Saccharomyces cerevisiae S288C: one gene and its partner. Changing the gene in region 2 together with the main gene of any one other region gives a genetic interaction. Each region holds a gene or a part of one and is shown on either strand. Other genes may lie near its edges.

Region 1 (3,621 bases), on a different chromosome or scaffold from region 2:
ATGGAACTTCTGGCGCGAGAAATAACCCTTCTTCGTCGAAAATCAAGCTACCTCCTTTGAAGAATCACCAGTTTGATTTGCCACCTACTATGGGCCATTCAAGTTTTGAGTCAGAGCAAGACACCTCCATTTCTCCATCAAACCGTTCGAACTTACCTTTAAAGTATACTGGCCTGGTGAAGAAGACAATATCTGTGAAGCTGAAGAGACCTCCATTCAACTCGATTGAAAATTTACATATTGTCTCTTATTATTCTGTAAAAGATATAAAACAAAATTGTCTAGTGACTCCTAAAGCTTCTCCTTTTTTGAAAGATGTTAGACCTTCACAGGAACTAATTGTCGCGATGGGAAATACAACCTTAGGCAACGTGAAAAACAATTCCACTACCACCGGTAATGGTCCTAATAATATAAACAATAAAAGCAACTCTTCCACTCCCCTGAATACTGTTATTTCCACGAATAACAATAGTGCTAATATAAATGCTGCTGGCAGTAATCAATTTACTAGTGCAAACAAAAATTATTATTATAAAAATGATGAAAGCTCTGGATACCCAATCACTCAATTTGCTCCCGCATTACCATCAACAACTTTGATGTATACGGCGAATCCACCTTATATCACTCAATCTCCTGATAACACTAACGCTACTGGTATGAATACACATGTTAATAATAACAATAATAATAGTAATAACAGTAGTAATAGTAATAATAGTAACAATAATAATAATAATAATAATAATAATAATAATAACAATAATAATAATATTAATAATATTAATAATGTCAATACTAATGCAGGGAACGGTAACAATCCAAATAGATTCCATAACGCCTCTTTTGCTTATAACACCACCGGTGACTTTATTAATCCGCAACAACAAGGACAAATTTCTTATCCATTTTATTATACAACAATTCCGATAAACAATCCTAACTATTATACCACACAACCTCCAAACCCTGTAACAAACGCTTCAACGAACGAGAATCAAGGCTATTCCACCTCCTCAACTCAACACCCTTATTATGGGCATCCTACTGAAAGTCAATCAGCATCAGCAGCCGCAGGCGCTACTGGCACTCCTGGTACAGCCGAGAATGTCCTTCCCGTATCCAGTATGCAGCCACTACTCCATCAAGCCAATAATAATAGTGCAAGCTCTGCTACCTCTACAGCTCCTTATCCGGTGTATTCTATGAATGTGAATGTTCCTTATTACAATTCTTCTGCTTCTGCATACAAGAGGGCACAAGAAAATACTACTTCAAATACGAATGCAGAACCTTCTGGTGCTACAAGCACTAACTCAGGCACCATGCTATCAAATCCTGCATACGCTAATTCTCAGTACACTCCATCGCAAGTGTATTACCAGGGATTCCCCCAATATGCCATGGCAAGTGCTCAAAATCCGTCTATGTATCAACACCAGCACCAACATCCTTTGCCCACTGTATATCCAATAGCGACGCCTCAACAAAATATAATGAGCTCTGGTCACACTTTGAGCACTATTGGATCTGATCCTCAACATCATCACTATCAACAAGAGCCCAACGACCACAAAAACTTCGCTATGGGTCACGCGAACAATAATATCTTAAACATCACCAATAATGATACGATGAACAACCTCAATACAAACACTTCAACTACTACACAATAAGTAAATATATTTTAAAAAAGTACTCCGATTTTCTTTTCTTCTCCTTGCCTTTTTGAGTATCGGGTTTACTCATGAAAATTATATCATTTTTCATTTTACAGTTTTATATACTTCGCTTCTTTACGTAATCATGCCTTTAATTTCATCTTCATTTGCCTATGGAAAAAAGCTATTCCTTTTGACATCATAAAATATCTTTATTAAAGAATCCCCTCTGTCAACATTTTCTACGAAAGATAGCTTAGTGTATTTTTTGAAGATGCTGTCGAAAATGATTCTCGACATACTCGCGCTGGTGGAAAAATGAAGTGGAAAAGATAAGCAAATTGATATATAAGCAAATAAACATATAATTTGGACGTACATCGAAATTAGTTGTTCTCAACTTATTTTCATTGTTTGATGAAAAGCGGAATATACATCACGGCTATATAATGAATAATGGAGACAATAAAACGACATTAGAAAACTCAAAAAATGCGTCACTAGCTAATGGAAATTATGCGATTCCCACAAAACTAAATAGGCTGAAAAAGAATGCTGACCCTAGAGTTGCTGCAATTTCAGGTGCTTTATCTGGTGCACTATCCGCAATGCTGGTCTGTCCTTTTGACGTTGCGAAAACAAGATTACAAGCACAAGGTCTCCAAAACATGACACACCAAAGTCAACATTATAAGGGGTTTTTTGGTACATTTGCTACTATTTTCAAGGATGAAGGTGCTGCTGGGCTTTATAAAGGTCTACAGCCGACGGTTTTAGGTTATATTCCTACTTTGATGATTTACTTTTCCGTCTATGATTTCTGTAGAAAATATTCGGTCGATATTTTCCCACATAGTCCGTTTCTCTCAAACGCTTCTTCTGCAATTACTGCAGGTGCCATCTCTACAGTTGCGACAAATCCGATTTGGGTAGTAAAAACAAGACTTATGCTGCAAACAGGTATCGGTAAATATTCCACCCATTATAAGGGTACCATAGACACATTTAGAAAGATCATTCAACAAGAGGGTGCTAAGGCTCTTTATGCCGGCTTAGTACCAGCCCTGCTGGGGATGCTGAACGTTGCTATACAGTTTCCTTTATATGAAAATTTAAAAATAAGGTTCGGATATTCAGAATCGACTGACGTATCGACAGATGTGACGAGCTCAAACTTTCAAAAATTAATATTGGCCTCTATGCTATCTAAAATGGTAGCATCTACCGTGACTTATCCTCACGAAATACTTCGAACTCGAATGCAACTGAAATCCGATCTTCCAAATACTGTTCAACGCCATCTCCTTCCATTGATTAAAATTACGTATAGGCAAGAGGGCTTCGCCGGCTTTTACTCTGGGTTTGCAACTAATTTGGTAAGGACAGTACCTGCTGCTGTGGTAACACTAGTATCGTTTGAATATTCTAAAAAGTATTTAACTACTTTTTTTCAATAAAGTGAAACAGAAAAATGTACATGACACAAGCTGAGGGTCGTAAAAAGCATCTTTCGCAATTGTTTCAACCTCATGACCCCTGTCTTGACTATGTATTCCTCTTTACGTCGGGCTACTCGCAAAATCAAGTAGTTTTAAACCTTTAGTATGTTGCAAATAAAGAGCAAAAAAAGAATTTATTCATCCCAGGAATCTCACTACATTTCGTAGGGGAAGAAATGTAGATTTGAGGTTCATTTGGCTCGTGAGAACGACTTGAACCTTATTCATACTTTATATAATATTTTAGGAGTATTGTAGCATTATGTATATTTTTCTTGCGGGTGTGCACTGCCGAAATAGCTGCTGAATATCCAGATTAAAAAACTAAACAAAAAACTGTTTCTTGTTCGAATAGTAAAAGAAGGTTTTCCCAAATGCTATTGTTATTTAGAAACGCTGGAAATACAGTATTTTTTGAAGAACTATCCGTTTTACCCGAACCTATTTTAATTCAATTC
Region 2 (3,716 bases):
TAGCTCCGTTTCTTCCTCCTCTATTGAAGAAACGGAAATGTTGGCTCCAAAACTCCCGGAAGAAAATCATAGTTTAATTCATGATAGGCCAGGCAGAGTTTCCATGATTAAGGACGATAAGGGTCTTAAGTTTATAATTGAGACCAGTGAGACGCCACTTGAAGGTGAAAGTGTTGTGTTTGGCCAAGTTACCGCCGGGTTAAAAGATCTGATGGATAAACTAGCTAATGTGAAAACTGACGAAAATGGCAAACCAGAGCAACCAATAACAATAGGTTACATTTCATCCCAGGAACACAGGATTCAGCATGCAAAGGAAGCTCACGAAAAGTATTTACAAAGGCTTCAAGATTACCAAAACGGCGATTTGGAGAAAGGTATTACATTGAAGAATTATTTATACCAGGGTAGTCAAAGAAAGTTAGAAGACGCAAAATATAATCAGCTTCACCATCCTTTACCAAAGATTATGCTTGGTATTTCGGTATTGTTACTTTTCTACGTTTTGGCCAAGTACAGGAAAAGAATATTCAACAGATCGTCTAAAATAGTTTCTATTAGAGAGGATTAAAATGTTTCGATCCATCCGCTTAATATTCATTCATTTTGTATCACATACATACGTATAAATATACATAACTTACCTCGTCTTTATTATGCCAACCATCATTCCAGGGTTTTACGTAACAGTTCCTCTATGGATTCCTTTTCTAGGTACTTCCCAATCAGCACAATTTTACACTCTTTATTGGATCCGTCATATTTGCCTGGAAAGACATCGTAGGTGTCGCGGACGCCTTGGATTACACGAGCAATGGGGTTCTCTCCTTCAATAAGTATCAGACCTTTAGTTCTTTGTACTTCCCAATCACGGCCGTCATCTCGGCGACGCCCTCCCAGCACTGTCATGGCTCCAAAATTCTTCCACAATAAAGGTTGCAAAAATTGCTTAATAAACTTATTATTATATTCTTCCTCGTTTTTTAATGGTCTGAAAGTAAGCATTATTGTGCCCATTCGATCATCATGAATGGTACCGTTTCCGCTACCACTATCTAAGATGTCAGATATCCGTACACTGTCGTATGCATGAATATCTAGTAAATTTTGAATCGGCGTATCACTATACTTGGTGAAGAACATCGGTGCGATAGAATTTATTTCCCGTACTCTTTCTTTTAATTGTTTGACCATTTCTGGTGAATGTTCGATAGTATCGTATTTGTTCATTATAATTCGATCAGCCATGGCTAGTTGGAAGTGTGCAATAGTCAGATTCCCCTCCAAACCAACTTTGTCACCATGCCAATGGGCATCGATGGAAATATCATCTAAGCATTTTAGTATATGCTCACAATCCAAAACCGTGATGATCCCGTCAATGTAAACGCTGCTATTCAATCCTTCGTCCTGCCAGAACATTTTCGCAATGGGGGCGGGATCTGCAATACCGGAGGTCTCTAAAAGGATATAATCGATTTTACCAGGTGAACGCTCCACCATATCTTCGATGGCTTTAACACCTATATTTTTCAACGAACAACACAGACACCCGTTACCCAAATCCAACCATTCTTGGTAGCTGTTCGATCCATTTTTAATGGTCATAGCCTTTTCGATTTCACTAGAATCTCCAAATTCATTTAAAATTACGGCAATTTTTTTATCTGCACCTTTTAATGCAATTTTTTCCAGCAACGTCGATTTACCTGATCCTAGATAGCCGGTAATAATGCTCACAGGAATACGCTTTTTCTCGTGCACATCTGTTGCGCCTGCAGAAGTGTTCTCCACTTGCTTGTTTACCCTTTCAACTTTTGCATCGCTAACAATATTTCCACCATCATACGAGACATTTTCCAAAATTTCTTGTAGATTATTTTCTTCACCTGTTACGAGGCAGGGTAGTTCACCATCTTCTTCTTCATTGAACTTGATGTTTCTCAATGCAGACATTCTTCCGCTTTAAAAGTTGAAAATTCCTCAATGAAAAGGGTGTTCTTGGCTTTACAAGCGCATTAAACATTTAATATTATATAATATTTATAATATACATGTTATTCCAATAGTGAAAAAAAAAAAAAAATGAAAATGAAAATGAAAAATTCGGCCCTTAAAAATGAACAACCTTTTACCAGCCGGCATTAAATGTCGTGGCACTTCACAGTTTATAACGCAAGGAATTTACTAATAGCAAGTGAAACCATTAACGATTAGTGTTGTTAAAAGAGTTGAATAAAGCCATTAAACAACGATTCAGTTGACAATGCGTTGGTCTGTCCTTGATACAGTGCTATTGACCGTGATTTCCTTTCATCTAATCCAAGCTCCATTCACCAAGGTGGAAGAGAGTTTTAATATTCAAGCCATTCATGATATTTTAACCTACAGCGTATTTGATATCTCCCAATATGACCACTTGAAATTTCCTGGAGTAGTCCCTAGAACATTCGTTGGTGCTGTGATTATTGCAATGCTTTCGAGACCTTATCTTTACTTGAGTTCTTTGATCCAAACTTCCAGGCCTACGTCTATAGATGTTCAATTGGTCGTTAGGGGGATTGTTGGCCTCACCAATGGGCTTTCTTTTATCTATTTAAAGAATTGTTTGCAAGATATGTTTGATGAAATCACTGAAAAGAAAAAGGAAGAAAATGAAGACAAGGATATATACATTTACGATAGCGCTGGTACATGGTTTCTTTTATTTTTAATTGGCAGTTTCCACCTCATGTTCTACAGCACTAGGACTCTGCCTAATTTTGTCATGACTCTGCCTCTAACCAACGTCGCATTGGGGTGGGTTTTATTGGGTCGTTATAATGCAGCTATATTCCTATCTGCGCTCGTGGCAATTGTATTTAGACTGGAAGTGTCAGCTCTCAGTGCTGGTATTGCTCTATTTAGCGTCATCTTCAAGAAGATTTCTTTATTCGATGCTATCAAATTCGGTATCTTTGGCTTGGGACTTGGTTCCGCCATCAGTATCACCGTTGATTCATATTTCTGGCAAGAATGGTGTCTACCTGAGGTAGATGGTTTCTTGTTCAACGTGGTTGCGGGTTACGCTTCCAAGTGGGGTGTGGAGCCAGTTACTGCTTATTTCACGCATTACTTGAGAATGATGTTTATGCCACCAACTGTTTTACTATTGAATTACTTCGGCTATAAATTAGCACCTGCAAAATTAAAAATTGTCTCACTAGCATCTCTTTTCCACATTATCGTCTTATCCTTTCAACCTCACAAAGAATGGAGATTCATCATCTACGCTGTTCCATCTATCATGTTGCTAGGTGCCACAGGAGCAGCACATCTATGGGAGAATATGAAAGTAAAAAAGATTACCAATGTTTTATGTTTGGCTATATTGCCCTTATCTATAATGACCTCCTTTTTCATTTCAATGGCGTTCTTGTATATATCAAGAATGAATTATCCAGGCGGCGAGGCTTTAACTTCTTTTAATGACATGATTGTGGAAAAAAATATTACAAACGCTACAGTTCATATCAGCATACCTCCTTGCATGACAGGTGTCACTTTATTTGGTGAATTGAACTACGGTGTGTACGGCATCAATTACGATAAGACTGAAAATACGACTTTACTGCAGGAAATGTGGCCCTCCTTTGATTTCTTGATCACCCACGAGCCAACCGCCTCTCAATTGCCATTCGAGAATAAGACTACCAACCATTGGGAGCTAGTTAACA

The links. A genetic interaction does not mean that the proteins touch.
Region 1: mutations in ZNG1 (region 2) and YEA6 together harm fitness more than expected from each alone (negative genetic interaction), as found in Saccharomyces cerevisiae (one large-scale study listed by BioGRID).

Annotation. Positions count from the first base shown.
Region 1 is NC_001137.3:142,214-145,834, forward strand, and holds YEA6 (NAD+ transporter), read left to right. Parts: upstream 1-2,113; coding exon 2,114-3,121; downstream 3,122-3,621. Other genes in the region: MIT1 (Mit1p), read left to right, coding at 1-1,679.
Region 2 is NC_001146.8:676,533-680,248, forward strand, and holds ZNG1 (GTP-dependent zinc transferase), read right to left. Parts: upstream 1,957-3,716; coding exon 667-1,956; downstream 1-666. Other genes in the region: peptidylprolyl isomerase family protein CPR8, read left to right, coding at 1-571; ALG12 (dolichyl-P-Man:Man(7)GlcNAc(2)-PP-dolichol alpha-1,6-mannosyltransferase), read left to right, coding at 2,267-3,716. UniProt on the Saccharomyces cerevisiae protein: Zinc chaperone that directly transfers zinc cofactor to target metalloproteins, thereby activating them.